Linked DNA regions of Sus scrofa. The protein of the gene in region 1 interacts with the protein of each later gene in a pairwise test. Links are inferred from orthologs where the notes say so. Each region holds a gene or a part of one and is shown in the gene's direction. Other genes may lie near its edges. The genes, in order: REL, TSTD2, GADD45G, EIF5A2, TSSK3, NCK2 and PLEKHN1.

Region 1 (4,113 bases):
ATTTACTATCCAGCCCTTTGCACAAAAACAGGTTGCCAATTTCTGATTTAGATCATTCTGCTAGGGTTAATTAGAAATCTTTTCTTCTTTTTTATATTCTTAAATCAGTACTTTTTCTTAGTTTAATATGCACAGCAGTCATATAACATGTAAATAAATACAGACTCCATTTTTTATTTAAAGTTTTATTAAAGTATAGTTTTACAATGTTAATGATAATTCATTCATTTTTTTTCTGTCTGGGAATTTTGTAGTGCCTTAGAGTGAGTTATATCTTACTATAGCTTAGAAATTTATGTGGATTTTTCAATCACGATAATGAATGTTTCCTCCGTCCCTCAGTTGTTCTCCTAAAACTGGAGAATATGAAATGACTTTTACTCTTTGGAGACCCATTAACTGAAATTCTGATATTTATCTTTCACAGTTCAAAAATACCTTTTTTTTTTTTTTTGCTTTTTACGGCCACACTTGTGGCATATGGAGGTTTCCAGGCTAGGGGTCTCATCGGAGCTACAGCTGCCAGCCTACACCATAGCTGCAGCAACACAGGATCTGAGCCGCATCTGTGACCTACACCACAGCTCATGACAGCGCCAGATCCTTAACCCACTGAGAGAGGCCAGGGATCGAACCTGCAACCTCACGGTTCCTAGTCAGATTCGTTTCCAATGCGCCACGACAGGAACTCCCAAAATACCTTTATAGGACCTTGGAAATTATATTTTCACAATTAACTGGAATGAAATTTTCTATGCCAAAATAACCAAAATCATTTTATAGGTATTTGTGAAACAATAAGCATTAGAGAAGTCAATTCTGGACTCCTGTAATAGTTACCATTTTTATTTGAAATGTTACATTAATTTCCTTGAAAATTTTTAGTGTGTTTATGTAATTTTAATTTAGAAATAATACTTTTAATAATTTCGTTCATTTCAGTTTTGTAAAAATACATTTCATCTCCCACAGAATCAAACTTGTTTTCTCATGGTGCAGTTTTGACAGAAACATCCAGGCCAGTTTCAAGTCAAGCAGAATCCTACTATTCCTCATCCATCTCAAGTGCATTGTCACATCCTGCTTCAACCATACCCACAATGGTACCTCAGCCTTCTTCAAGCTGGTCATCAGTGGCCCGCCCCACCTCACGCTCAGTCAATACAAATTCACTGAGTGGTTTCTCACCAGGGACCCTTTCCTCTAATTCACATGTTATCACGCCATTCCTGGAAATGCCTGTTATGAATGATCTGAATACTTCTAATGCTTGCATTTATAATAATACAAATGACATAGGCAGAATGGAAGCATCGTCTGTGTCACCAGCTGACTTATATGGTATTTCTGATGCCAGCATGCTGCCTCATTGTCCTGTGAACATGATAACGCCCAGTAACGACAGCATGAGGGAGACTGATAATCCGAGACTTGTGAGCGTGAATCTTGAAAACCCTTCCTGTAATTCAGTGTTAGACCCAAGAGACTTGAGACAGCTCCATCAGATGTCGTCTTCCAGTATGTCAACAGTCACCAGCTCCAGTACTACTGCTTTTGTTTCCCAGTCAGAGGCATTTGAGGGATCTGACTTTAATTGTGCAGATAACAGTATGATAAACGAGTCAGGACCATCAAACAGTACTAATCCAAACAGTCATGGTTTTGTTCAAAATAGTCAGTATTCAGGTATTGGCACTACGCAGAATGAACAATTGAGTGACTCATTTGCATTTGAGTTTTTTTAGGTTAACTTGTAAGATTTAAATGGTGAATTAATTAAATCTCTTGGAGTTCCCATTGTGGCTCAGTGAAAATGAACCTGACCAGTGTCCATGATGATGCAGGTTCAATCCCAGGCCTTGCTCAGTGGGTTAAGGATTTGGTATTGCCACAAGCTTCCATGTAGGTTGCAGACGTGGTTTGGATCTCACTTTGCTGGGGCATGGGCTGGCAGCTTGAGCGCCAGTTCGACCCCTAGCCTGGGAACTTCCATATGCCGTGGGTGCGGCCATAAAAATTTTAAAAATAAAAAACAAAATAAAGGAAACTTCTAAAAAAAGAATTCAATCTCTTTAAAGGTTGTCACCATTTTGATTTTATCTATGTAGATGCAAAATTTTATATTTCTCTGACTACAACTGTGACACAAGGGAGTTTTTTGGTTATGTTTTAGGGATGATAGTTCAAAAACATATTTATCAGAGGGAATAGTATCTTGAACAACACATGTTTGAACTGTGTGGTCCATTGTGCAGTACACAGATTTTTTTTTTACTGTTCAAGTACTGCAGTACTACACGATTTGAGACGGGCTGAATTCATGGATGCAGAATTGCAGAGACAGGAGGCCATCTGTAGAGTTTTAAAGTTAAACATGGATTTTCCACTGTACAGAGGCTCAGTGCCCCAACCCCTGTGTTGTTCAAGGGTCAACTGTAATTATAACTTTAGGTATGTAGAGGATGGATTGCTCTAACAGGCAGTCTTGGCTTGGGAGCTTCTTGTTTTGCTGGCAGAGAATTTGTCGAGATAAAATGAAAGATGAATTCTCAGTGCTTGAAGCTGCAGCTTAAAAAGGGAGATGAACTCATTTCCCACTTTCAGGAAGAGCTAGAAAAATTTGTCCAGCATTTACAGAAGACTTTTGCTTCAAAAGTAGATAAATCCACACAGACCGAACTCCTAGGCTGTGATGCATTGTGGAATCCTACATACAATTAAACTGGGAATTTCCTGGTGGCCTAGTGGTTAAGGACTCAGCATTGTCACTGCTATGGCTCGGGTTCCGTCTCTGGCCTGGGAACTTCCGTGTGCTATGAGTATGGCCAAAAAACCCCCCCTTTAAACCTGTATATACTCTTGGTATGCAGAATACAAAGTTGGAAACAGTCACAAAAGGAAAATTTTCCAAAATAGAAATTTAAAAGGGCTTTACTATTTCTTCTTTTATTATTTTTTTTTTTTTTCCTTTTGAAGACATGTGATCTCATTCTGTGTGTGGTGGGAATTGTCTTGAGAGTCCTGTCACTTTTTCGCAAGACAGACTGAGAACATTATAGCAAGGCTATAATGTTTTTCCAGGTACACTTTTTTGGTTTTTTAATTTTAATTTTTATTTATTTTTGGGGAGGTTTTTTTGTTTGTTTGTTTGTTTTTTGCTTTTTAGGGCATATGGAAGTTCCCATGCTAGGGGTTGAATCAAAGCTGCAGCTGCTGGCCTATACCACAGGCACAGCAATGCAGGATCCTTAACCCACTAAGCAAGGCGAGGGATCAAACCTGTGTCCCCATGGATACTAGTCAGATTAGTTACCACTGAGCCATTATGGGAACTCCCCTGAGCACTCTTTTATACTTCTTTTATGATGTATTAATATATTCTTAGTTAAGTGAACTAATTCATATTTGCTTTTAAGCAAATTGAAGGTAAAACCTGTAATGGCTATGCCATTGGAAAAATTAATTCCTTATTATTTTTGAGGCCCATGGGCCAAGGTGACCCCTAAGGGGTTTTCTGAGGCTTCTTGGAGTTTCCTAGATTTACATGTAAATAAAAATTTCTTTAAAATGCCAAATTGAGAGGGAACATACCTTGATATAATAAAAGCCATTTATGACAAATCCACAGCAAATACTCAATGGAGAAAAGCTGAAAGCCTTTTTCCACTAAAATCTGAAACAAGGATGCCCACTCTCACCACTTTATTCAACATAGTATTGGAAGTCCTGGTCACAACAACCAGACAAACAAAAGAAATAAAAGATATCCAAATTGGAAGAGGAGAAGTAAAATTATCACTGTATGCAGATGACGTGATACTACATATAGAAAACCCTAAGGACTCCACACAAAAACTGCTTGAACTGATCAACAAATTCAGCAAAGTAGCACAAGATTAATATTCAGAAATCAGTGGCATTTCTGTATACTAACAATGAAATATTAGAAAAGGAATACAAAAATACAATAGCTTTTAAAATCACACCCCCAAAAATTAAATACCTGGGAATAAACCTGACCAAGGAGGTCAAAGACTTACATGCTGAGAACTATAGAACATTAATCAAAGAAATTAAAGAGGATTCAAGGAAATGGAACGATATTCCATGCTC
Region 2 (4,802 bases), on another chromosome or scaffold:
TGGGAACAACTTTAAATTTAGACTCAAGTTCTCCAAATACCAAGTGATGACTTCTAGGAGATTTAGGTTTTTAATTAATCAAATGCAAAGCACATGAAGACTATTTTCTGTGCTCTGTATGTACATTATACAAGAAGCCTCCTGTGATTAAAAAAAAAAAAATCAAAGCATGCAGCCTACTATACATGTGTAGCAAAAAGAACCTTGGATTTGCTTTCACCTGTGTCTGGGCACAGCCATCTCCATTAATTATACTAAATCTAGACCCTTAGGTGTCAGGTGACAAGACTGGACTAGACTATCCTCTCAAGCCATGTCCTAGCAGAAAACTGATATTTCATTGTTAAAATTAAGTAGGTGGGATTTGGTTCCTACCCTCGAGTGCCCCAACATTCAAGGAGAGAAAAATATAAGTGGAGAAAATTAATTAAATCCAACTTTTTGATCCGTATTTTTTTCCTACATCGTTGACATCTGCCAATGCTTATCAATTCTTAAGCATTAACAGATGATAAAATACATATCATCATGAGCAATTAGTTACATATGTTAATCCTCACAAAACCAAGAACAGGCATGTATCATTAATCCAATACTACAGACTAAGGTTTAAAGAGGTGATATAATCTGGGCAAGATCACAAAATAAATGGCAAGGTCTAACTTTGAACTTAAACCCTCTGTCTCCAAAGTCTGGCCTCTTAACCACTTTACAACACTATTTTCAAGTATTAATAACTAAATTATTTTTAGTTTCTTTTTGCTTTTCTAGATGTGTATTCTTGACTGTTGTTTTTTTAATGTAAGCATCGTTTCCTATTTTTAACTAGCTAAATTATTCCTGGTTTCTATGACGGCAATTCCAGGATCCCCATGAGTGCAAATATCCAAATGGGAACCCCGATCTAACCTCTACGAGCTCTCTAGTGAGTCTTCTGGCATTCTTTTCTTAAACGAGAGAAATAAGCTTACAACCAATTCAAGATCTAACATAACGACCTACGTATATCTATTTATTAAAGACTTCTCGCGTGCGGATAAGAAGCTGATTTTTCTTCCCCAGTGGTTTGAAAGAAGGCAAAACCCCGGATGACCCGCACAGGAGAGCTGGGATTGCAATTCATCAGATCTCTCACCTTCCGAGAGCCATTAATACATGATGTTTGAGGGTCAAAACGAGACACTGGGACAAGTGAGTCCTGGTCACCGTCTCTAAGGGGAAGCGGCACAGACACAAATATACTTCCCTGCTCGGCGGTACCAAGGACCTTATCTTAAAGAGTGCTTAGAGACCAGGGGTGCACCAGGCCTCCCCTCCGCCGACGACTCAAGAGGTGCGGTGGGGGATAGCACGAGCTTTCCAGCAGTCGCCCAGCCACACTCCCGCTGTGCCACCCATCTCCCCGCAAGTTCCTGGGGGAAGGGCTTCCCGTCCCTTCGCTCAGGACCTGAAGACCGAAGAAGCCAAACCTCGGCCCCACCTGGGCGCGGCTTCGGCGGCCAGGCCCAGAGCACTCACCATCGTTCTCGTCGCTGTGCCGCCGCCGTGACATGCCGCACGTTGTGTATGCGGCGGAGCCTAGACGCCGGGCGGGAAGAGCGGCAGGAACCGTCGGGCAGCCGGCCGGCGCGAGGACAGCGGCGAGGCTCACGAAGTGGCCCGCGCGCAGGCGCACTCGCTCGCGACGGCTCCCGGAAGCGCAAGGGGGAGAAGTGGCCGGGTGGGCTCGGCGGGCTCGGATCCCGGAGAGCCGGCGTCTGGAACCTCACCAAGCCACTGCCGCCTCGTCCGCACGCAACCGCCCCCTCGGGCTGCCTCCGCCTCTCCGCTGCTTCCTTCGCCCGCCTCCGCGGGAAGTCCTTCCGGGGCCACGCGGAGAGCACCGCCTCCCCAGGCGGCCGGAGCCCGCAGGCCGCGAGCCACGCCTTGGCGGGGGTGGTCTAGGAGGGACGCTCTAGTTCAGACTCCCTCCACTTCAGACTCCCCCCCGGGCCTCTCAGTGGTTTTCCCGGCGGCCCTTTCGCTAACGGCCTAGACTTCCGGGGCGAGGTGAGGTCCCCGGCGTTCCTTCCTACGTAAACAGGGGCGGGGGCTGGAGGTGCAAGGGTGGTGAGAGGTGACAATTGCTAGGCGGAGACGGTTTGGTGAAGAAAGATCTAAGAAAGGATCTGGACTGGCGGGTACGTGCTCATCTTTCTCCCACTTCCGGGCCTCTGCCGACTCGGGAAAGCTGGGAGGAGAGATTGGGCCAGGCCCGGCGCGCGGGGTGGGGCCCAAGCGGGAAGCGGCGCCGCTCGAGCAGCTCTGGGGACCGAAAGACCCTGCCTAGCTTGAGCTTGCTGCTCTGCGGTTAGCTTCTGACCGTCGTCTGACCTCTCGCCCCTCTGAGTTGTTGATCGCTTTAGTAATGTTTCCAGTGGTTATTGGATACTTCCATTATGTGTATGTGAATATTCTCCGCCCTGACCTCTGTGGTGAACACCACGGCTGCTTATCTGCTTTGTCGATGGCCATTTGAAATTTCACACGCGTGAAATGAACCTTTCATTCTCCTAGCCTAACCTAGCCTAACCTATTGCTCCTTCACTTTTACGCATCCATCCGATTGCTTAATCCAAAAATGTAGGTAGGAGTCATTCTTGGCTCCTTACTTACTACCTAATGAACTATCAGTAAACCTTATCAGCTCTACTTTCAAAACCGATCTGGAATCAGTTACTCCTTTTTTACTACTCTCTCATGACTTTGCGATGTAAAGTAACCTGACCTACAGGGTCCTACTCTTTTATCACTATGCTCCAACAATTCTTACTTTCTTCCTGTACCTCCAGTAAGGCAAGCTTGTTCACCCTTTAGGCATTTATATTCCTTTGCCTGAAGATTTCTACCCTTAAGTATGCATGGATGGCTCCTTGGCATTTCAGTCCCAGCTCAAGCATCAGCCCCCTTAGGAATCCTTCCCTGGCCACCCAACCTTTTACTCCATACCACAAATATTGTATTTATTATGTGCCAGGCAGTGTTCTAGACATTGAGGAGGCTGAGGTGAACGAAGGAAAACCCCTGCTTTCTCAGTGCTGATGACCGGTTGAGGAATCCAGCAAACTGCAGTCAGAGGTGGTGGGCAAAAATAGAAAAAGATGCGATTAGGGTGTGGTGGGAAAGGCTTTATAAGAACCTTGGACTTTATCTGATGCCTTTAAAAGCCTTTGGAGGGAGAGATCTGACTTATTTTTAAAGTCACCCCTCTTGCTCTTACGGGAGAAGGGCAGTTAGGCAATTGCAATAATTCATGCAAGAAATAATGGTTGCTTAAGTGGGGTTGGTAGGGAAGGTAGTGCAGTGTCATCTGATGTGATTATATTTCAAAAGCAGAATTGACAGGATTTTCAATACTCTGAAAGAGTGAGGAGACAAGAATCCCAAAGTTTTTTCCTGAGTAACAGGAAGAATGGAATTGTTGTTTACAGAGGTGAGGAAGACAAGGAGAGCAAGTTAAGAGCTGGATTTTTTTTTTCTTTCTAATAGTTTGGTTTATTGTTTATTATTTATTTTTTGTCTTTTGAGGGCACATGGAGGTTCCCAGGCTAAGGGTCAAATTGGAGCTGCAGCCAATGGCCTGCACTACAGCCACAGCAATGCAGGATCCAAGCTGCGTCTGTGACCCATACCATAGCTCATGGCAACGCCAGATCCTTAACCCACTGAGCAGGCTGGGGATGGAACCTGTATCCTCATGGATACTAGTCAGATTCATTTCTGCCGAGCCTCGATGGGAACTCCTGTTTTTTATTTTATTATTTTTAAGGCCCTATCTGCAGCATATGGAAGTTCCCAGGCTAGGGGTCAATTCAGAGCTGTACCTGCTGGCCTATGCCACAGCATCGTGGGATCCAAGCCACATCAGTGGCCTACACTGCAGCTCACAGCAGTGCCAGATCCTTAACCCACTGAGCAAGACCAGGAATTGAACCTGTGTCCTCATGGATTCTAGTCGGGTTTGTTACCACTGAGCCACAATGGGAACTCCCTAATGGTTTGGTTTTGACAGTTGCATTTGAACAGTCTCCTGGCTCTCCAGCTGAAGCCATCCAGTAGACAGTTGGTTATGTGAACTTGCAGTTCAGAGGAGAATCTAGCCTGGAGATAGAAGTTTGGAGTCATTTACTGTATAGTCTTCTAAATATAAAATTTCCTTTATTTATGATTGTTACCCTTTTTTAATTTTTCATGGAAGCTTCAAATATTTACAGAAGTAGAGGAAATTATAAAAGGAACTCCCATGTACTTTATCAACCAGCTTCAGCAGTTACCAACTAATGGCCAATCTGCTTTCACCTCTCCTACTTCCCCTTGCTCAACTTTTCTGAAGTAAATATAGTTGATCAATTCTTGGAACTAGATGAGGATTACCTCAAAGTTGAGTATAGATAGAGCAAGTGAACATTTAGAGGTAGGGATGTTAGTAAGGAGGATTCCCAACAAAGGAGCAGTTCTTAGCATTGATACTTTCATGTTTTTATTTATTTATTTGTCTTTTGCCTTCTCTAGGGCCACACCTGCAGCATATGGAGGTTCCCAGGCTAGGGTTCCAATCGGAGCTGTAGCTGCCTGCCTACACCACCGCCACAGCAACATGGGATCCAAGCCACGTCTCCGATCTACACCACAGCTCAAGGCAACGCCAAATCCTTAACCCGCTGAGCAAGGCCAGGGATCGAACCTGAAACTTCATGTTTCCTAGTCGGATTCGTTTCCACTGAGCCACAACGGGAACTCCTGTTTGTTTTTAAATTTGTTTA
Region 3 (4,009 bases), on another chromosome or scaffold:
CCATCATAAGTGACTAGATATAGTTCTCAGTGCTATAAAAACAGTTTGAGTGTTTAATAATTTAATTAGAGCAATACCTAAGTCTCAATCACTTAAGAAAAAACACTTTATCCAATCAAGGCCCACCATCATTTTAAACACCACCAACAACGAACGAGAAGATACAGTAGCAAATAATCACCGCCTGATGCCGTCTGACTCCCGCTGTTATAAAACGCCTCGGATTTCAGGGATATGAGGTAAGCAAAGACCCAATTCTTGGCATCAGGAAGTGGCCTGCTTTCGCAGCTGTCCTCTGGCAGCTGGCCACCGGGTGGCGCAAAACGCCAGCGCACTCGGCTGTTTTTCTTACCCGTTATCTCCGGTCTTGCACCAGAGCCTGGGCTTCCAGCGAATTCACCCCGGCCCGCAAACAGTCCTGTCCAGTCTCTAAGGCCTCATCTAGAAAAGAGGGGCAATGGAATGCACCGCAGCACTGGTTTCAACGTAGAGCAGAGAGATGCAGACACCAAAAGTGATAAGTTGAGTGAGCGAAGGGTCTTTTCGTTTGTCCCCAACTCCTTCCGGCGTGGGTTTTGCAGCCTTTCTTCTGACTTCTGTTAATACGCAGCTTGGAGGGAGCTCAGCCGACCCTACCAGGGCAGCTCCTTGACCAGGAGGCTGCAGGCCAAGTCACTAGTGGTCAATGCAAGTGTAGGGGAGGGAGGTGGTCAGGATCTTTCCTGCCGGCCTGTAGATGGCGCTCCGGGAAAGATATTCCGAGCCGCGTTCCCCAAGCTCTAGGGGCCTGGAGCCAAGGGGTCCGGGCTGAGCGCAGCCGGCTGTGTAAATGGTGCAGCAGCCAGGTGTTCCTTCCAACTGCCACCGCTGTTCCGCACGTGTGCAAGGACCCGGTGGGGCGGAATTACATGCAAACGTGCCGCTGGTGCAGCAGGGCCTGTGCGGGGGTGGGGGTGGGGAGCCGCGCACCGAGGAGGGCAGGAGCGGCACGCGGCCCCGACCCCCACGCGCCAGGCAGCCCGGCGACCCCCACGAGCGGCAGGGCCCTACCCACCCCACCCAGCGGCAGGTGGACAGTGTCGCTATGAAGAGAAAGCTTCGATTGTCCCTCCCACAAACCGCCACACGCCAGACCTCCGCTATTGTGCGTCCTCCATAGAAATGCAAACGAGCCGCGTGCGCCGGCCGCAATCTGCTCGGGAGCCCCGGCGCCCCGCAGCGCTCTGCAGAGGGCGGGGAGCTCGGGTGGGACTTTCCAGCGCGACGGGGTCGGAGCCTTGATTCTGCAGGGAGAACCTCGCATTCCGGGCCCTAGTGTCAGGTGGAGGGAGCTGCGCCCGGGCCTTTTGCAAGCTTAAAGCCAGGACTGTGTGTTTTTAAGTTCCGCTTTAAAAGCTACTGTCTCATAAACTCCAAATTAAGAGTAAAGAAAAAATAGAAAGGTAACAACAAAAATAAATGCAAAAATAAATTCATTAGATTCTCCAACGGTGCATTTCACAAATTGCAGCGTACTATTAGCTAGCAAGGGTTTGGCTTTTTTTTTTTTTTTAAACTTTTCCCTTTTAAAGACTTAAAAACAAAAAGGCTAGATGAAATCTGCAGGCTCCAGGCTGCCTGGTAACACCCCGACAAAAGCAGCAGATTTGAGGCATTGTCATCCCCCGCACCCCTCCCCACGTGGCCTTCTGGCACGAGCCGCCGGCCGCCGCCTCATTTGCATCAGAAAGCGGGCGCCGGCCAATGGGCGCGCAGGCTTGCGCCAGCTGGCGGCGCCGAAGACCCAGCCTATATAAAGGCGCGCGGCGGGACCCGGGCTCACTCGCTGGCGGTGGGCACGCCGAGCAGAGCTGCGGGCTGATCTCTCTTCGCTCGCGTCCGCTCCGCCCTCTGCTTTTGTGGATAACTTGCTGCTTGCGGATCGCAACATGACTCTGGAAGAAGTTCGCGGCCAGGATACGGTTCCAGAAAGCACGGCCAGGTAAGTCCGCGCTGAGCGCCGAACGTCTCAGGGCTCCGGGATCCTGGTCCTGCCCTGGCCGCGGCTGGTTGGGCGCAGTCTTCGAAACCTTCCGGGGTGGGGGTCCGCTGGGTAGAAGTCAGGCCCAAGTGTTTCCGCTGGGCTGGGGGTGCGGCACTGGGCTGGAGCGCCGGAGTCGGGCGCCGGGGGTGCCTCCCAGGGCTCGGGGGTCCTGGCTCACCCTCCGGCCTGTCCACGCTCATGGCGGTGGCTCCTCCACAGGATGCAGGGCGCCGGGAAAGCACTGCACGAGCTGTTGCTGTCGGCGCAGCGACAGGGCTGCCTCACCGCCGGCGTCTACGAGTCCGCCAAAGTCCTGAATGTGTGAGTATAGACGCGGTCCGGGCGAGGCGGCCGGGGGCGGGCAGAGCGGCAAGGGAGACCGGGGAGAAGGCGGCACGGGGCACCCGGGGCACACCGATCTGACCTCTTCACCTCCTTCTCGCTCGCGCAGGGACCCCGACAACGTGACCTTTTGCGTGCTGGCTGCTGACGAGGAAGACGAGGGCGACATTGCGCTGCAAATTCACTTCACTTTGATCCAGGCGTTCTGCTGTGAGAACGACATCGACATCGTGCGTGTGGGCGATGTACAGCGGCTGGCGGCGATCGTGGGCACCGGTGACGAGGCGGGCACGCCGGGAGACCTGCATTGCATCCTCATTTCGGTGAGTGTCGCCTCCATCCCGATGTCATCCCTGCCCTTGCCAGCGGCCAGCCCGGTTGACCTCTGGACTCTCTTCGCAGAACCCCAATGAGGACGCGTGGAAGGACCCCGCCTTGGAGAAGCTCAGCCTGTTCTGCGAGGAGAGTCGCAGCGTCAACGACTGGGTGCCCAATATCACCCTCCCCGAGTGACAGCCCGGCGGGGGTCTTGGTCTGATCGACGTGGTAACGCCCCGGGGCGCCTAGCGCGGGGCTGGCTCTGTGGATGCGCCCTAGGAGGGCGCCCGAGTGCGGCGTGGAGACTGGCAGGCGCCGGCGCGTGGAGAGCGGCGAGGAGGTGCGGCTCCCTCCCGAGGAGGGGCCCGGCGGCGACAGGGGCAGGCTGGCCCCAGCCCAGGACTCTACAAGTGTGGGGAGCGGTTGCTCGCCCAGGAAGGCCGGAGGCGGGACGTTGGCCGCGCGGCCGGGAAGGACAGACTGGCCGGGCAGGCGTGACTCAGCAGCCTGTGCTCCCGGCAGAAAGGAGGGGAAAGGCAAGGCCAGGAGGCCTGGACTTGTACAGTAACAGAAGCTCTGACGGACTTAGCAGTAGGCACTGCTGTTTCAAAACGGATCCGGGCGATGCTTCGTTTTCTAAAGGATTATGCTGCTGCAGCGTTGAGTCTTACAATAAACTTACTGAAAAAAACTTAACTCTCTTTATTGAGGGCAGGGGATCTTTGTCTGAGGGGAAGGTGGTTAGCGGGATTGCTGACGATTTCTGAAATTCCCGGAACTCGCTGGCACCTGTTCCATCTTCCTGTTAGGGCTGAATTACAGGCTCCCGGGGTGCTCGAAGTGGGGGAGGGGGCGTTGGCTGGGTGTTAGCAGAACTTGAGCCGTGCCCTCCTCTCCCTTTAGGAAGATTTTTACACTCGCAAGATAGGAGCATACTTGGGATAAGCCATCAGTGCAGCAGCTGGCCATCCAACCTGATAACGGAGGCCTTTCCTTTCCCTCCCCTCCTCCTTCTCTCCCCTCTGCCCCCTCCCTTCCAACAGCTGCTTATCGAACAGCTTGCAGGATGCAGGCAGCTCCTTCCTGTGCAATGAGCATTGCCTTCTGCAGGGGCTGCCCTTTGTGGTCCCTGAGGATGGCGGCAGACTGCTCTGAGGAACCTTTTTATCTCAAAGGGATGGCGCTTAGAGCAATGTCACCAAGGTATTAATATCGCATATGACATGATGACTGCATTTGCGTGTGAGTCATCATTTTGTCATGGCTGTGATAGAACTTAAAAAGATCTTAGCAAAGAATGGTAAAGCGGCATCTGCACAAATGGGT
Region 4 (4,667 bases), on another chromosome or scaffold:
ATTAGACTGGACAACATGTGTGAAATGTCTGTGTAAACCACAGCAATACAAAATCACAGCACCACATAAAAGAAGGTGTAAAGGTCACCTCTCCGAGGCAAGAGAATGTGATGGACTCTGTTTCACTGTGAAACCACTGAGAATAGGAGAACACATCTCTTTTTTTTTTTTTTTTTTTTGGTCTTTTCTAGGGCCACTCCCGCGGCATGTGGAGGTTCCCAGGCTAGGGGTTCAATCAGAGCTGTAGCCACTGGCCTATGCCAGAGCCACAGCAACATGGGATCCCAGCCGCGTCTGCAACGTTTACCACAGCTCACTGCAATGCCGGATCGTTAACCCACTGAGCAAGGGCGGGGACCAAACCCGCAACCGCATGGTTCCTAGTCGGATTCGTTAACCACTGCGCCACGATGGGAACTCCAGAACACATCTCTTTTTAAGAATCTTCGTCCTGGAGTTCCCGTCGTGGCGCAGTGGTTAACGAATCCGACTAGGAACCATGCGGTTGCGGGTTTGGTCCCCGCCCTTGCTCAGTGGGTTAACGATCCGGCGTTGCCTTGAGCTGTGGTGTAGGTTGCAGACGCGGCTCCGATCCCACGTTGCTGTGGCTCTGGAGTAGGCCAGTGGCTGCAGCTCCGATTCGACCCCTAGCCTGGGAACCTCCATATGCCGCAGGAGCGGCCCAAGAAATGGCAAAAAGACAAAAAAAAAAAAAAAAAAAAAAAAAAAAGAATCTTCGTCCTAATCCTATTCAAGTCGCTATTGGTACCACGTTGATTCCAAGACAAACCAAACTGCTCTAATGAGGTATGGACACACCTCAGACTTGAAGGAAGGCAATTCCAGGACGAAGGAAGAGCTGAGTTTGGCAAGAACATCTTTCTGCTGGATAACGCAGTAGGAATCTGACACTCATTTGCCTCCAAAACTCCGCAACAGCGTCCGGTGTGAGAAGTGAGTTAGGTCATTCCACAGCTTTTTAGTTCTTGGACGTCTCAGCCTCCTCTTCCCCTGCCCCGCCAGAGCGCTGCTGATCCAGGCGGGGCACCAGTGGCAGTGGCTGCCAGAACCTCATCATGGGTGGCTGGGGTCACCCGCACAGCCTGCAGTGGGGGCCAGGTAGACTACATTGGCTCTTCCCCAAGGAAGAAGCATGGTTTTGAAAGCCAAGAAGGGCTGCAAGTTGGGCCAGAAATGGGAACCCAAAGTTCCCTCCACAGCCACAAGGGATAACCATTGAATTATCAAGCCTCGCGAAGTCTGACAGCTGTCACGTGACAACCGCCTGGCACCTGAGGGCAAAGGCCACGGAGCGCGTGGCTTGGTTCTCCTTAACTTCAACTGAGACGCCAACGCAAAGAACTCAAAAGTTTGAGGGAACAAGTTTCCTTGCCGGCGTGTTTACCCTCAACAACCGAACTCCAGAAAGTGCTCTTCACGCCGGAAGTGCACTAATCCGCAGCACGTGGGGTTGCCAGGTCGCTCTTCACGTGACTGGGCGGGCCCTCGGGAACCATGTAGCCAATGGTAGCGCGAGAGGGCGGTGCCTATGACGCGCCGGGACCTATCCCGGAAGTGGAGCTGAGGTGGGGGCGGGAAAGGGCGGGGAGGCCGGGGTGTGGAAAGTGTGACGGCCCCGCCCCGTCTCTTGGAACTGCGGCGGCCGCCACAGCTGCCGCCGCCGCAGCTGTGGGGGACCCGCACCGGTGCGCAGGCAAAAGGCACTCTTTCCCGGCTGAAAGGTGAAGAATAGGGGAAAGGCTGGTGGGGCCGGGACCGGAGCGAGGCAGGGCAGAAGAAGCCGGCCAGAGCCCAGCCCCAACCGAGGAAAAAAGGAAGGATGGATGGGGGACCGAGGCGAGCGCGGGACCCGCCAGGGCTCAGGCCCGTGCGGGACCGGGCCGGGGATGCTGGCAGGACAGGGGGCGTCTGAGAGGTCGAGGTGACGGCGCTGCGGGCTGGGAGGAGAAGTGCGCACACGCTGCCCGAGGGCCAAGTGCTGCTGGCCAGGTGCTGTTATCCCCATCCTTCGCGGGGACGTGCGGCCTGGGCTGGGCCCCCCCACAGTGGGGATCCGGGCGGCTGCGGAGGGCCAGACTGCGCGGCACAGTGCGGGAAGGTCGCCAGCTTCTTCTGCGATGGGACTGTGGGGGCCGGGATTTGCTGCCCTCAGCGCGGGTGAGCGCCCAAGGCGGGGATTCCCCATCCACAGCCAGCTTTTCTTCGACTTCCCTCCCACCTCCCTACCAGAGGATGGAAAAGTTTGTAAGGCCAGAGTTAGAAAGTCCCTACTCTTCTGGGTGGGTGTTCTATAAATGCAAAAATAATAGACCCATAATGCTTGGAAACCCGAAATGAGGGGTTTCCCTGCCTGCATGCCAGTTGTTAAAAAGCAAACAAACTTTTTGCATAGTTCCCTCAGAAAAGCAACCATCTTCCCAGCCCACCATGGCGGATGAAATTGATTTCACTACTGGAGATGCTGGAGCTTCCAGCACTTACCCTATGCAGTGTTCGGCCCTGCGCAAAAACGGCTTCGTGGTGCTCAAAGGTCGACCATGCAAAATAGTGGAGATGTCAACTTCCAAAACTGGAAAGCACGGTCATGCCAAGGTAAATGCCCTTTCAGGTCTATCTCGGGGTTGGGATTTTGATTATTTGTATTCCATTACAGAACATGAGTTTTCTGTACTTATAATTGTTTAATATCCCATAGTTACTGGGTGATTAGCTATTTGAATACTGAAAGGTAATATTTCCTTCTTCGGCTCTTATAATGTTTCATTAACTGTAAACTGAAACTTTCCTGAATCCTAGTAACTTAGTCTATTTAGTTTACAAATGAAAAAACCTAACATCATTCTAAGGAACCTAACTTCATTTTTCTTAAGCATTCTTATGACTGAATTATTAGACTATATGATATTGGGTCTTGATATGTCATGATATTCTTTAGTTGTTCACTGCTTCTCAGTTGTATGCCACTACATTTTTTTTTTTAAGAAAGTAAAATTAGATGACCTTGGAAGGTGAAAGAATCTGTCATAATCAGTGCTGGTATTATGCTCCTGTGTATGTAATGAGTGATATCTTGGCAAAGATTAAACAGGTTTCCTGTTCTCCTTTCTCTGTTAGGTTCACCTTGTTGGAATTGATATTTTCACTGGCAAAAAGTATGAAGATATTTGCCCTTCCACTCACAACATGGATGTTCCAAATATTAAGAGAAATGATTATCAAGTAAGTACTAATTTCCTTTAGAATACTATTCATGTCCTCAAGGTGCAGATACTTTCTACTGCCATTGTAATTTAATAAAACCCACAAGTAGTTTTGTAGGTTTTTCTAACCAATTATTAGGTACCACTTACCATAGAAGATTGGAGAAATAGTAATATTTAACACCTGTACCTTAACTAGGATGATAGCTAGTCTGCATTTTTAAACATTCTTGCATTTTTTAAAATTCGAACAATCATTGTTTCTCAGATCAAGTGACTGACTCCCTATTGTTAGTCCAGTGTTTATTAAAATTACTATTCTCTTTGTTATAAATTATTTCAAGTTTAGATAACTCCCTCCTGGGTATTTCTTTTCACTTATCAGACTTCAGGTGCTCAAGAAATTATTGGAATTCATCTTCTGCCGACCAAGTTTGTGCATATTAATGAATGTGTGTCAGAATTTGGTGTTCTTAAATGGGGAAATTAGTTGAAAGTGTATAAAATATAGCGTCACTGAATATGGTGAAGAAAATACAAAAACTCTGTTTTTTGGGTTTTTTTGTCTTTTTGCCTTTTCTAGGGCCGCACATGCAGCACATGGAGGCTCCCAGGCTGGGGGTCCAATTGGAACTGTAGCTGCTGGCCTACGCCTGAGCCACAGCAATAGCAACATGGGATCCAAGCTGTGTCTACTACCCACACCACAGCTTACGGCAACACCAGATCCCTAACCCACTGAGCAAGGCCAGGGATCGAACCTGAAACCTCATGGTTCCTAGTCAGATTCGTTAACTACCAAGCCACTATGGGAAATCCGAAAATACAAAAACTTTGTAATTGTTTTATTTATGTTCCATGACCGTGCTGTGACCTTTGGTTAAATTATGTGTATAAACTGCAATTTTTAGTTACAGTTATACATTTGGATAAGTCATATTTAATGATAGCACTTTCTTGTTTGGAGTATTCTTGGTAACTAAACCACTGACCTCATAGGATGTGGGAGCTCAGATTAATCTTGAAAGTCTTCAATTTTTTTATCTTGTATTGAACTCTTTTCTATTCATTTTACACAGTGAAATATACAAGTGTAATACTCAGATTTGTTTTATCCAATTTAAGCTGATTTCTTTCTATACCTTATACTGTGTTGTATAATTTTTTTTTTTTTTTTTTTTTTTTTTGTCTTTTTAGGGCTGCACCCCTGGGTATATGGAGGTTCCCAGGCTAAGGGTCTAATCGGAGCTGTAGCCATCGGCCTACACCACAGACACGGCAACATGGGATCTAAGCCACATCTACGACCTACACCACAGCTCACGGCAACACCAGATCCTTAACCCACTGAGCGAGGCCAGGGATTGAACCTGCATCCTCATGGATGCTAGTCGGGTTCGTTAGTCGCTAAGCCACGACAGGAACTCCTGTATTGTGTAATTTTTA
Region 5 (4,109 bases), on another chromosome or scaffold:
CTCTAGGCCCCCGGAGCCCAGCACAGTTATGCTAATTTTACTGGAGAACCAAGGAGAGTGTTGGGGAGGACGCGAGGCAGAGAGGCTAGAGCACAAAGGCCGCGCCATAAGGGGTCATGAATAGCAAGGAACGGTTTTGGCGCCCAGCAAGCAGAAGGCGGACCGGGAAAGGCGGGCCCCTGGGGTTGGGTCCAAGGGGGTAGACAGCAGAAGGTAAGGTGCTATTGGATGAGGCTGAGCAGCCGGCGCGCCTGGTCCGACGGGATAGACAGACACGGCCAGCCCGGAGTGAAAAGAACAGTTTATGCTGTGCTTTATTAAAATGTGCATCATTCTTTTATTTAAAAATGTGCATCACTGTCTCGTGCTCGGCGCGCGCGACCTCAGCGTGGTGGCCCGCGGCGGGCCTTGTCCCCGCCCGGCTCCCGCCGAGCCGTCGTGCGCAGGCGCACTCAGGTGGCGCGGGCCCGGGGGCTCCCGCCCATGGCCAGGTAGACGTCGATGGGCACGTGCAGCAGCGTCAGGCAGTGGCAACCGGGGCAGCGTCGAAGCGGCCTAGGGAAAAGCGGGGTGTGACAGGGGCCGCTGAGGCGGAGGCCCGCCTATCCTGTTGGGATGGCGTCTAGGAGTGCACTTGGGGTCCCCGAGGTTCGGGCGTGGATGTGGTACCTTATATGGGGCGGGGTCGGTCTAGGGACGGAAGGTGGGGCGGCAAGGAGGGGCGCCGGCCTTACCTGACCGGGTTGTGCTCCGTAGCTACAGGCTCCGGGCTGTCCTGGGACTCAGGGGCGGCGGCAAGGCCGGGGGAGTCTCCAGCCTCAATGGGGAATCTTCGACCCTGAGGGGGCTCCTGGGCACTCATGTCCAGGCCCCGGGGCGCTCTGCGCGGGGAGTAGCGGTCAGGCCGCTACCGGGCAGCTGGGCTCCCCCACCCGGCGCCCGCCCCTTGGGCTGTTGCTCACCTGCCGGAGGCCGAGACCGGTCCCAGGCCGGAAGCAGCTGCCCGAGCCCTGGCCACGGGAGGACGCTCCGGTCCAGGCGGATCCGGGCAGGTGTCTGCTGCGCGTCCGTTCCCGGGCGTCGAAGGGGAAGGCTGCATTGTGACCCGGGCCGAGGCGCGGTGACCTCATAGAACCCGTTCCTCCGGCCAGGGAACCTCACGCTGCCCGGGCACTTAGCGGGGTGGCGAGCCAAGAGCTGGAGGGCTCATGCCATGGGTCGCACAGACCCCGAGCTGCCCTATGGGGGCACAGGAGGCGGCGTCCGCCGAAAGGAGCCTGGCATCCTGGGCTGCGCGCAGACCCCTGGAGCGCCCCCCACAGGCGGGGCCGCGAGCGACTCACTGCCTGGCGCGGGGTCGGGGCGCAGCAGTGACTGAACCCGGACAGGGTTTGGTGGTGGTGGTGGTGAGGGCAGATAGGAGCATTGCTCATTTTGGCCAAGAGTCACACATCATTTACATCACAATTAGGCCAGAGTTTTAAAATGTCTGGCCCTCTCCCTCCCCACCACCTGCGGCTGCTGTCTCCAGACGGAGAATGCTTTAGCCCTGGGGGCGGCTGCGGATGAAGTCCTTGGGGGGAAAAGGAGCGGGCCAAGGGCGATGGTGGAGTAGAGCTGCCTCGCAGAGGCAGCATGAGCTGAGAGGGTAATAGGAAGGAAGGAGGTGTTAGACAGCATGGAGGACTTTCTGCTCTCCAATGGGTACCAGCTGGGCAAGACCATTGGGGAAGGGACCTACTCAAAAGTCAAGGAAGCAGTTTCCAAAAAACACCAAAGAAAAGTGGCAATTAAAATTATAGACAAGATGGGAGGGCCAGAAGGTGAGCTGGGGGCCCTTTGGAGGAAGGGAGGGCTGGCTGAAGTGGGTGGGCGCTTCCTCCAGTCAGAAGGACCATTTCCTCCTTCTCTTTGATCTGAAACCAAGGAAAGCAAGGGAGTGTGGCTCTGGGGTAGGTCAGTGGGGAACAGAGGAATGCTGGGTGTCAAGGACAATCACACCCTCCAAAGTCCAAGATTAAATCTGCAGGAGGTAGAAGGATCCTCAGAAACAGAATCCAAGCCCACCAGGGCTTTCCTATTCCAGGACGGGAAGAGACTGGAAGGCTGTGGCCAGGACTAGCAGAGGGCAGGAGTGGGGCCAAGGAAGGTAGAGACTGGGAAAAGACAGGGCTTATGGAAAGAACTGTGACTCAGGAGTCAGAGGTGAGAGGAGCTGGCTCACCACGCTGTGGGCAATCAGGCCTCACAAAAGATTCAACAGCTTTGTCTAAAAAGTCTCCAAAGCATTTTGATATCCACGGTCTCACAGGCTGCTCACAACGGTCCCTGAGGCTGACAGGGAACAGTTCCTCTGAATAATATATTAGCTACAAAAACAACAGGGGTGAACATTCTTTGCAGTGTCCAAATAGCTGGATGTTAAAGGCTGTGCAAGGGAACCAAGGCACAAGACCCAGACATGGTGGGCCAGAGCTGGAAGGCAGGAGTCAGGAGAGGAGTTCTAGGCCCTTCTGGACTTGACACTCCTTCTCTTTTCCCTTGTGTCCTTAGAGTTTATCCAGAGATTCCTGCCTCGGGAGCTCCAGATTGTCCGTACCCTGGACCACAAGAACATCATTCAAGTGTATGAGATGCTGGAGTCTGCTGACGGGAAAATCTACCTGGTAATGGAGCTGGCTGAAGGAGGGGATGTCTTTGACTGCGTGCTGAATGGAGGGCCACTGCCTGAAAGCCGGGCCAGGGCCCTCTTCCGTCAGATGGTCGAGGCCATCCGCTACTGCCATGGCTGTGGTGTGGCCCACCGGGACCTCAAATGCGAGAACGCCTTGTTGCAGGGTTTCAACCTGAAGCTGACAGACTTTGGCTTCGCCAAGGTGTTGCCCAAGTCATGCCGGGAGCTGAGCCAGACCTTCTGCGGCAGCACAGCCTATGCCGCCCCCGAGGTACTGCAGGGTATTCCCCACGATAGCAAGAAAGGGGACATCTGGAGCATGGGCGTGGTCCTGTACGTCATGCTCTGTGCCAGCCTACCTTTTGATGACACAGACATCCCCAAGATGCTGTGGCAGCAGCAGAAAGGGGTGTCCTTCCCCACTCATCTGGGCATCTCAGCCGAATGCCAGGACTTGCTGAAGCGGCTCCTGGAACCAGACATGACCCTCCGGCCTTCAATTGAAGAAGTTAGTTGGCATCCATGGCTAGCAAGCACTTGATAAAAGCAATGGCAAGTCCTCCCCAATAAAGCAGGGGGAGAAAGCAAACCCAAAAACCCGCTTCTAAAATGTTGATATATATTTTACACTTTAAGTTTACTTATCCTAAATCTTACCTATACCCTCCCCAGCCTTACTTCTCTTTCCCTTTAAAGATCTTCATGGAACGAGAGGGCCTCATTCAGACTTCCCTTTTATTACGGCTGACAAGTGATTTTCATACCGGTGTTTAACTAAAGTTAATTAAAAACAGTCCCCAGAATCATACACGTACAGGGGGAGGACAGGAGAAAAATGACCAAGAGCAACTGAAAAAACTGTTGTTGCAACTTCCTTTCCAAATAAAAGCAGAAGCGTTGGGAATGCAGAACAGCCTCTTGACTCCTTGTCTTGGTGAGAGGCCTGCTGGGGGCTTGGCCCTTCCTCATCCCAAAGGCCGAGCCGAGTCTGGGATGAGGACAAGGGACTTCCTCAGGACCCAGGCTACCTCCCACCACAACCCTCCCCCAGGCTCTAAGTAGGAAGCCACCCTGCTCTGGCTCTAGGCAGTTGCTGTGGGGACAAGAACAGACCCCCAGACACTTTCCAGCTTCTGTTGAATCTCTTTAATGCTGTTAACGGCAAATCTGGAAAAGGTTCAGGAAAAAGTTCTTTTTTCTTTCTTTTTTAATTACAAAACTAACAGCTGTTAGAATCTTTTTTTTTCCTTTTTTCTTTTCCCAGCTAGAAAATACTCTGGGGAGATGCATTATAATTTAAAATATATAATATTGCACAAACAACCAAAAGGTTAATTAAACTAAAGAAATAATTACAAAGAGAAAACCCCATCCCATCAAAAAAAAAAAAGATTAAGCATTCTCTCCATCCCACCCCCTCACGGAAGGTCTGAAG
Region 6 (4,908 bases), about 32 Mb from region 1:
TAAATTTGGAGGTTAATTCATGAAAGAGGAGAACATGCATTATTTATAAGTGTCTTTAGCATCAGGTAGGAAGTGTCATGTTATTTAAAAATGGGAATTCATGCTTCACAGAGTCAGTGCGCTGGTCCCCGCTGTCATCCTGAAGTCATCCTGTAAATAATGAGAGTGCCTCTCTGTCAGAAAAGGAGAGGGTTGGAGTCAGGAGTCTTTCCATTATTCATTTCTTCCTCATTTTGAGTAAACTTCCAGTCATTTAAAAGACAGAATGTTGAATTTTTCTGCCTGAAAAATACTGGTCCAGCTTCTACCTGAGAAGTAGGGAGTTGCTGAAACTAGCTTATAACTGTACTCATTTTAGTTATTCAGATATGCCTGAGCCATTTATTAATAATAGATAATTCCATAGTTAACTAAGTATGCTCTATACTCTGTTTTTTGTTTTAAAGATAATTGAATTTTGGCATGATTTTACAATACTTTTATTCCCAGTATTCCACGTTTTATGGGTCTTGACAAGTGTGTCGTGACACATACTCACTCTTATAGTATCCTTTGGAGTTGTTTCGTTTCACTGCTCTAAAAATGCCTGCACTCCATCTCATCATTGCTTTCTCCCCTTTCCCGGCCACCACTGGTCTTTGTAACATCTCCGTAGTTTTGCCATTTCCAGAATGTCACATCATTGGAATTATTAAAGAAAAAATGACACTCATTAAAGACCAGTCCAGCAGACTTTACTAGGGGGAGTACAATAAGGGGTTTTCTCAGTTGGGGGGGGGAGAGTTTGGGCTCCATTCCACATACAGGAGGGGAAGTGAGACTTTATAGCTGGGCAGCAGGTTGGGCAGCAGGTGCATGCACAACCACTACGAGGAACCAGCAGAGCTAAGGGGGGTTCTGGCTACATGGACCTCACAGGATCCCTCCTGAAAGCAGCCCGGGATGATCAGACACCACTTGGGCAAGGGTGGAGGCACCTGGCTGAACTAGCTTAGCAGGATTCTTGCTAAAAGTGGGCACTGCAAAGACAGACTCAAGTACCGAACTCGTTTGGGAAGAGAAATCAGAAGAGCCTGACTACCATTTGATCTAATAGCAGAGTCTTTGTGCCAGTCATACAGTCTGTGCCTTTTCAGATTGGCTTCTCTCACTTGACCATAAGCACTGGAAGTTTTTCCATGTCTTTTTGTGGCTTGACAGCTCATTTCTTTTCAATCACTGAATAATAGTCCATTTTCTGGATGTACCACAGTTTGTTTCTCCATTCATCTACCAAAGGACATCTTGATGGCTTCCAAATTTTGGCAATTGCGAGTGAAGCTACAATAAACGTCTGTGTTTCAGGTTCCAGGAATGCTTTTTTACTTAAGGAAGAAGGTACAAAGATAGCCTTCCCAGGTATCCCGGACTCAGTTTTCCTTAGTGCTAACATCTTAGGTGTTTAGGGACCTTCGTCAAAACAGTCAGGGGTAAAATTAGTCAGTGGCACTGTTGGCTAGACTTATCTGGATTTTACCAGTGTTTATATTTCAGGATGCAATCCAAGATACCACATTGTAGTTTGGGTGTGTCATGTCCATTAAATATGTCCATAAAATTAAGCATATCCTTAGATAGTAGGCATCAAGAGATCAGCCAGAAGGATCTGGTGTTCCTTCATCCTGTAAGCAGGTTTCCTTTTCGTATGGTTGTCTAGAACTCTTGGAAGGTTTTTTTTGGTTGCCGCTTGTTTTTGTCAGAGCATGCAGAATTCCTAGTGTGCAAACTTAAGATTTGTTTCACGAGGCTGCCGTTTCTAAACCAAGTATTCCCATGTGTTGAAGGAAGGTCGCTGAAGGTTATTTGGAGACCCAGGCAACATTCAGTGGCCAAGTTTTTACTAAAAGCTGTCAGGGCATCATCTTCCAAGTGGGGACAAAGGATGAAGCTTTTGGCTTGGTCTCTAATGAGCCTCTCGCCTGTTTTGCTGACAGAAGGACTCCATGAAAGATGACAGAAGAAGTCATCGTGATAGCCAAGTGGGACTACACGGCCCAGCAGGACCAGGAGCTGGACATCAAGAAGAACGAGCGCCTGTGGCTGCTGGACGACTCCAAGACATGGTGGCGGGTGCGGAACGCGGCCAACAGGACGGGCTATGTGCCTTCCAACTACGTGGAGCGGAAGAACAGCCTCAAGAAGGGCTCCCTCGTGAGGAACCTCAAGGACACACTGGGTGAGTGTCCTTTCTCGGGATGCAGGGAGGAGGGGTCATCGTTTTAGTTGGTGTAGGAGAGGAAAAAAAAAAAAAAAGGATGTTTTAAGTATTAACATCTTTCTTCGTGTCTTTTTCTGAAATTCTGGAAATGGGGAGAGATCCAGCGGAGAAATCCACTGTGTCGTTTCTTGGAGATTCTAGAATCTGGAGTTCCATGTGAGCGGACCCTTCTGTGTCCGGGGCCCCTGCTCATTTCTGTCTCCTGGCATCCACTTTCTGGAGGGTCCCGGGATGGAATTGCCATCCCCTAGGGATGTCCACAGCTCCACCTGTGTCATTCCACCAGAGCTTTTCCATCTCACAGAATCCTGCACCTGTGGCTTTTGTGCATAGAGAAGCAGACAGCGAAAAGCGCTTTGAACCAGGTGAACTTTTCCCCTCTTTTAAATTGGTGGCATTTCACACTGCAGCCCTGGGCAGTGCCAGCTAAGTGGGGACAGGAGTGGCGGTGTGATGCCAGCTGACCAGGGTGACTCGTGGGGGCTCTCTATCTGCCCGGCTTTCTTCCTGCGATCCTGTTTCCCCTCCCTGGTATCCAGCCGTGGGAAAGGCCACCTGCATCCCCTGATATTGATGGTGTCCAGTATTGCTTCAGTGTGGGTATCAGACTTCTGCACAGTAGTTACTGCTGCAGAGTGTGGGTGAGAGCGTGGGCCCTGCCACCTGAGACCACTGCTTATCACAGAAGAGTTTGAGGTTGAAAACATGAGTGTTATCACCCACGTGACATTTCCTTGAGGTTTTCCTTTTCATTTCTTTGGTTTTTTTGGTGTGATTTCCCCTAATTTTTATTAATGGCCATGTCCTCAATCTTGGCACAGTTGTTGGTATAACAGAGGTGCCTTAATTAAAAAAAAAATAATTGAATAAATAATTAGTTATTGCATCTAAGTTGATAATAAGAAATTATGTCTAACCAGTCTTTAGGCTGAATAAATTGAGTATTAAATAATAAGAAAGCAGTTCTTGCTATGGCAGATGGAGAAGTCCATCACAATTAAGTTCACTGGGACAAAATGACTTAAGTTGATACTTTATTCTTGACTACTTGGCAGTAGTCTCATAATGTTTTTTTTTTTTAATGATTTTTATTTTTTCCATTATAGCTGATTTACAGTGTTCTGTCAATTTTCTGCTGTACAGCAAAGTGACCCAGTCACACATACATATATATGTTCTTTTTCTCACATTATCCTCCGTCATGCTCCATCACAAGTGACTAGATAGAGTACCTTTTCATTTCTAACAGAATTTGTTTCATTTGCGGGAGGGGAACAGGTAGGAAAACCAGAAAGAAAATGTTAAACTCTGCATGTGACAAGACTTGCAACCTACCCACCTTTCATTTTTCTGCAATCTGAACGCATCCACTGCTCTCATCGAAACCATTTAGAGCCTTTATCCATTGGGTAGTAATTCTATGTTACATGTTAGGTTATTTCCACAATTTGAAGGGAGAAATGAGACATAGTCCTGTGTGTGATTCACACTGACTACTGTAGGTTCTGCCTGATGGAGAAATTCTGTTTTTCATGAGTAAGCTGATTATTTTTCACAAATCTGACACCCTTTTATCTTTTTTATCCTTTTTTTTTTTTCTTGATGATCATGTCACTTGAGAAGAATATTGTTGTCCAGTGTTTATAACTCTTCATTAACTATAAGGAAAGGCAGGCAGGAGTTCTCGTCGTGGCTCAGTTGTTAATGAACCCAACTAGCATCCATGAGGACATGGGTTCAATCCCTGGCCTTGCTCAGTGGTTTAAAGATCTGGCATTGCCATGAGATGTGGTGTGGGTCACAGATATGGCTTGGATCCTGAGTGGCTGTGGCTGTGGCTGTGATTGGCAGCTGTAGCTCTGATTCGACCCCTAGCCTGGGAACCTCCATATGCCACAGGTTCAGCCCTAAAAAGACGAGGAAAAAAAAAAAAGAAAGAAAGAAAGAAAGAAGCATGAATAGGTAAATACTTTGAGTGCCCTGACATAATTTTATTTATTTTTTCCAATTTCAGCCTCTCATTCACTGAAGTACCTGCTTTTGGAGATGCTGAACATTGTTGACTTATATTCTTACTGTTTTTTAAAAAAATCTATTCTCAGGATTCTAGTAAAGAACGAAATACTCAGGGAATTCCCTGGTGGCCTAGCAGGTAAAGGATTTGCATTGTCACTACAGTGGCTCCGGTCACTGCTGTGGCATGTCTTCAGTCCCTTTTCAGTTCCTGGCTTGGGACCTTCTGCATGCCGCAGGCGTGGCTGAAAAAAAAAGAAAAGAAGAAGGAAATGCCCAGAAACTGAGCAGAATGCTAGGAAGTAACCTAAGACAAAGCAGGCACTCGCGTTATCTCCAGATTCCTTTGAACAGCTTGTCACTTTTTCCTTTGGTTTTTAGAACAAAAAGACAGCTGAGTGATGAAGCACCCCTCTCTCTAGGGTTCAGGTTTTCATGAGCTGTGGTCAGTCCCATGTGTCTGCATACCCTGGACTCTAGAACTCAGGGGGCCTGGCTCAGCCAGTGCATGCGCGTGCTGGGTGCCAGGCAGCTCCCCCCCACCCCCGCCCCAACAGATGGCCACCCAGCTCTGCTGGAACACGTCTCCTTGTGTAGAGTCAGCCAATTCCATTTTTGGAGAACACAGATTGCTAGAA
Region 7 (3,407 bases), on another chromosome or scaffold:
TTGGCCCTGCCTCGCGCACTACCTGGCTGCCCATGCAGCTCTGCGGGGCCCAGGCAGAGGCCTGGCTGGCTTCTCCTAAGGCCCCATCCTCCCTTGACGCCCCGCAGGGGGAGCTTCCACTCAGCGCCATCCACATCAACCTGGAGGAGAGGGAGAAACAGATCCGCTCGTTCCTGATCGAAGGTGGGCGGAGGCCAGGCCTGGGAGGAAGGGTGTGAGCCTGCTGGGTGGCCACCTCTGCACCGGGGCTTTGAGGGGGGCACCCTGCCTACCAGGCCCCCTCACGGCCTCCGTGTGCCAGGCCGTCTCATCAATACCATCCGTGTGGTGTGTGCCAGCTACGAGGACTATGGCCGTTGGCTGCTCTGCCTGCAGACTGTCTGCCACAAGGATGGGGCCTCCCTGCTGCCCGGCCCTGAGAGCTTCCCTGGGCTTCGGGCGCCCACACAGGTGAGGGGTTGGCAGCAGCGGGATGCTGCCCCACAGCTGGGGTCCCGGGCAGTGGTAGAAACAGGAGGATGGGTCTGGGCATGGGTACGTGGGGAGAGGTGCTGTCGGCTCACCCTCACCCACCACCGACTGCCCAGATTGTGGGTGGTGGCCAAGGCTCGCTCTCCTCGGATGGACGGACCAGCTGGGACTCAGGGTGCCTGGCGCCCGCCTCCACCTGCACCAGCCACTCCCTCCCTGAGTCCTTGGTGCCCTCTACCACAGACTGCCCTGCCCAGCTTGCACTGGTGAGTGTCTGGAGGGGAGTGGGCCGTGGAGGGAGAGGGGGAGCCCAACCCAACTAGGATCCTACCTCCTCAGGGGAGGGCACTTGGACTGCAGGGGCTCTGTGTAACCTCAGAGGGCTACGTGGGAGAGGGCCCCAGGGAAACTTTTGGAAATTTCTTGGTCCCCGCAGGAGCAAGCCAACCCTGACGGCACCAGTGTCAGTGGACACAGGGCAAAGCTGAGACGGGGCGGCAGCAGCCGATCACCCAGGAGCAAGGCGAGGGGCGAGGGGCCCAGCCCAGTCACCCCACTGCGCCTGGACCTGACCAAGGTGGGCCCAGCACAATGACCCTGGCTCTGGGCCTGCCTCTCCCTCCTGCCCGTCACCTTCCTGGCCTGTCTCGGTCCCGGAGCTACCCAGAGGCCTACAGCATGGAGCAGGGAGGGCTAGGCCACTTCCAGTTCCAGGAAACCTGTCGCATCTGTCTCTTGCCTGCAGCTAAGCCTGGAGGACAGCCTTGAGGCCCCGGGCCACTCTCTGGAGACACCACACTCCCCACTCTACGCTGATCCCTACACACCACCTGCCACTTCCCACCACAGGATCGCAGATGTCCGGGGCCTGGACAAGGTCAGTCCCCTGCTGGGTGACAGAAAGAGCTGGAAGTGCCCACAGCCGGAGGTTAGGAGGGTGCCTGAAGCCTGAGGTCTGCCCAGGCTGTTGTGAGAGGCTAAGGGGTTTCTGGGGCAGGGGTCCCTCAGCTGCTTGGAGGTCCTAGCCTGAGGTCTTGGTCACTGGCAGTTCCTCAGCGCAGTGCAGAGCTCACTCGGACCTGAGCCCTCGGGCCCATTCCCCGCCGGCCCGGGGTCGGTACCTGTCTCGGACCCCAGCTCTGGATTCTCCAGCCCCCACTCGCTCTCCGAGAAGGGAGCCCTGCAGTCCCGAGCCTCTCAGCGGCATCGTGGCTCCATCAAGGACCGGGGGCCCCGGCTCCCAGGCTCCCCTCAGCATGTGAGTAGCAGCCAGTCCGCCCCGCCCCAGGCAAGGGGTCCTGTTGGGAGAGGACGGAGCATGGAGCCTCCTGGGACCCTGAGGGAGCAGGAAAGATGGAAACGGGGAGAGCAGGTGGGCAGAGACCTATGCGCAGTCGCAAGATGGGGGCACTGGGGAGGAGGAAGGCCAAGGGGAGAAGGTGGGCTGGTCTTCAAGCCCCTTTTCCCAGGGCCCATCTCTGAGACTTGTGCTTGGGGTCCTCAGGTCTCCCCCGCCAGGGAAGCGTCCCCCCCGCCCCTGCCACCGCCCCCAGGTAAGTGAGGGCCCCGCCTCCTCCGGGGAGAGCTCTGGGTGTTGCTCCCTGCAGGCACATGCATCTCTGCCCTCCCCACCAGATGGCCACCCCTTCAGGAGCTACGACAGCATCCAGGACAAGGCCCTGTCACCTTCTCACCAGTGGTGGCCTCGAGGAGCACCTGAGGCTGATGAGGGGCTCGTCCAGTGGATCTGATGGCCCTCGGGTGGCTGCTTCTCAGGACCGCTTATCAGCATTGACTTTGGAGGAGGGTCTGCAGCAGGGCCTGGCTCTTTCTTTGTGAGGCTCAGGCATCCAGTATTGAGCCAGGATCTGGCCCCAGCAGGGTGGAGGGAGTCTCCAGAACCCTGAGCTTCCCTGAGCCCTGGAGGAGCCAGGAGGGCCCCATCCTCAGGACGCCTTGGCCAAGGTGACTGGATGCCCAGGGTGCCGTCCTCGGCCTGCCTCCCTGGGGAGGAAAGAGTGAGGGGACTTGGGTTAGGGGCTTTCACCTGGGAGAGGGAGGATGGCACAGGTGTAGCGGTCAGAGAACCAGGAAAGTCAGCTTAGAGAGGGTCCGCGTATGGGAGGTCAGAGGGCACGAGGGCCAGCAAGGTCTGAGACTAGGAGGGCAGAGGGAGGAAGGTTCTCTGGGAGCGTGGGAGTGGAATGGGTTCACCGGGAGAAACTGACAAGAGACCAAACAAGAAAGAAAGAGATTTTATTGGCGCCATGTGTCCACGTGTTCTGTCCTCAGCAGCCAGGAGTCTCCTGCGTCCTGGGGACCCTGTACGCCATGCTGCTTCGGGGCTGGATGCCCACCTAGCACCCAGCCTGGCAGACCCCCGTGCTCTACCACCACCAGCACACCACCCACTTTCCTGTCCCATCTCCAGCTCCTCTCAGACTTGGGACAATCCCAGGTTGTCCAGTCCCTCCCCCGATGCCATTGTCTTCTGCCTCAGCACTTGCTCAAGGGTTCCCTGGAGGAAGGACTCCAGGCTCTGCCCTACAGACCCCCACCCCACAGGGCACCTTAGGTACCTGCTCACCATCTTGGGCAGGAACCAAGGAGGCTTGACTGTACACCCCTGGGGTTCAAGGGTCAAGGCAGCCTCAGAGGCCTCCACTGGCCCAGCCCACTTACAAACAGGGCAGAGTCCCTGGGACATGGCCTCCTAGTCTCAAGGCCACCCAGCCTCCCTACCTTTGCCCCCTGCTCAGACCTCCAGCTGGGGCCTTGCTGCTGCTCTGAAGTCATCTAATTTCCCAGGCCCTGTCGTGCCCCTCCCCCCAACAAGATAACCAGATAGGACTAGGGTGCCAGTTAACTTTGGTTTCAGATAAACCACAACTAATTTCTTGGCATAAGTACATCTCAAATCCTGTGTGTCTGAGATT

The links.
Region 2: the proteins of REL (region 1) and TSTD2 interact in binary tests that used the Homo sapiens proteins (3 or more experiments, as listed by UniProt). The two-hybrid records come from large-scale screens. The link is inferred for Sus scrofa from reciprocal best matches to the Homo sapiens genes REL and TSTD2.
Region 3: the proteins of REL (region 1) and GADD45G interact in binary tests that used the Homo sapiens proteins (3 or more experiments, as listed by UniProt). The two-hybrid records come from large-scale screens. The link is inferred for Sus scrofa from reciprocal best matches to the Homo sapiens genes REL and GADD45G.
Region 4: the proteins of REL (region 1) and EIF5A2 interact in binary tests that used the Homo sapiens proteins (3 or more experiments, as listed by UniProt). The two-hybrid records come from large-scale screens. The link is inferred for Sus scrofa from reciprocal best matches to the Homo sapiens genes REL and EIF5A2.
Region 5: the proteins of REL (region 1) and TSSK3 interact in binary tests that used the Homo sapiens proteins (3 or more experiments, as listed by UniProt). The two-hybrid records come from large-scale screens. The link is inferred for Sus scrofa from reciprocal best matches to the Homo sapiens genes REL and TSSK3.
Region 6: the proteins of REL (region 1) and NCK2 interact in binary tests that used the Homo sapiens proteins (3 or more experiments, as listed by UniProt). The two-hybrid records come from large-scale screens. The link is inferred for Sus scrofa from reciprocal best matches to the Homo sapiens genes REL and NCK2.
Region 7: the proteins of REL (region 1) and PLEKHN1 interact in binary tests that used the Homo sapiens proteins (3 or more experiments, as listed by UniProt). The two-hybrid records come from large-scale screens. The link is inferred for Sus scrofa from reciprocal best matches to the Homo sapiens genes REL and PLEKHN1.

Annotation. Positions count from the first base shown.
Region 1 is NC_010445.4:80,873,987-80,878,099, reverse strand, and holds part of REL (proto-oncogene c-Rel), read left to right. Parts: intron 1-972; coding exon 973-1,745; 3' UTR 1,746-4,113. UniProt on the Homo sapiens protein: Proto-oncogene that may play a role in differentiation and lymphopoiesis.
Region 2 is NC_010443.5:239,489,766-239,494,567, reverse strand, and holds the start of TSTD2 (thiosulfate sulfurtransferase/rhodanese-like domain-containing protein 2), read left to right. Parts: upstream 1-1,684; 5' UTR 1,685-2,049; exon of another isoform or gene 2,050-2,180; intron 2,181-3,016; exon of another isoform or gene 3,017-3,120; intron 3,121-4,802. Other genes in the region: NCBP1 (nuclear cap-binding protein subunit 1), read right to left, coding at 1,519-1,552.
Region 3 is NC_010456.5:1,164,165-1,168,173, forward strand, and holds GADD45G (growth arrest and DNA damage-inducible protein GADD45 gamma), read left to right. Parts: upstream 1-1,835; 5' UTR 1,836-1,928; coding exon 1,929-1,981; intron 1,982-2,242; coding exon 2,243-2,344; intron 2,345-2,474; coding exon 2,475-2,688; intron 2,689-2,767; coding exon 2,768-2,878; 3' UTR 2,879-3,374; downstream 3,375-4,009. UniProt on the Homo sapiens protein: Involved in the regulation of growth and apoptosis. Mediates activation of stress-responsive MTK1/MEKK4 MAPKKK.
Region 4 is NC_010455.5:109,527,379-109,532,045, reverse strand, and holds the start of EIF5A2 (eukaryotic translation initiation factor 5A-2), read left to right. Parts: upstream 1-1,595; 5' UTR 1,596-1,742; intron 1,743-2,413; 5' UTR 2,414-2,448; coding exon 2,449-2,613; intron 2,614-3,135; coding exon 3,136-3,240; intron 3,241-4,667. UniProt on the Homo sapiens protein: Translation factor that promotes translation elongation and termination, particularly upon ribosome stalling at specific amino acid sequence contexts.
Region 5 is NC_010448.4:88,808,345-88,812,453, forward strand, and holds TSSK3 (testis-specific serine/threonine-protein kinase 3), read left to right. Parts: upstream 1-1,678; coding exon 1,679-1,823; exon of another isoform or gene 1,824-2,553; coding exon 2,554-3,215; downstream 3,216-4,109. Other genes in the region: protein FAM229A, read right to left, coding at 453-555, 735-881, 963-1,099. UniProt on the Homo sapiens protein: Serine/threonine protein kinase required for spermatid development and male fertility.
Region 6 is NC_010445.4:49,106,262-49,111,169, reverse strand, and holds the start of NCK2 (cytoplasmic protein NCK2), read left to right. Parts: upstream 1-1,989; coding exon 1,990-2,215; intron 2,216-4,908. UniProt on the Homo sapiens protein: Adapter protein which associates with tyrosine-phosphorylated growth factor receptors or their cellular substrates. Maintains low levels of EIF2S1 phosphorylation by promoting its dephosphorylation by PP1.
Region 7 is NC_010448.4:63,333,406-63,336,812, forward strand, and holds the end of PLEKHN1 (pleckstrin homology domain-containing family N member 1), read left to right. Parts: intron 1-107; coding exon 108-183; intron 184-301; coding exon 302-450; intron 451-587; coding exon 588-737; intron 738-907; coding exon 908-1,048; intron 1,049-1,216; coding exon 1,217-1,348; intron 1,349-1,519; coding exon 1,520-1,729; intron 1,730-1,975; coding exon 1,976-2,024; intron 2,025-2,106; coding exon 2,107-2,222; 3' UTR 2,223-2,735; downstream 2,736-3,407. UniProt on the Homo sapiens protein: Controls the stability of the leptin mRNA harboring an AU-rich element (ARE) in its 3' UTR, in cooperation with the RNA stabilizer ELAVL1.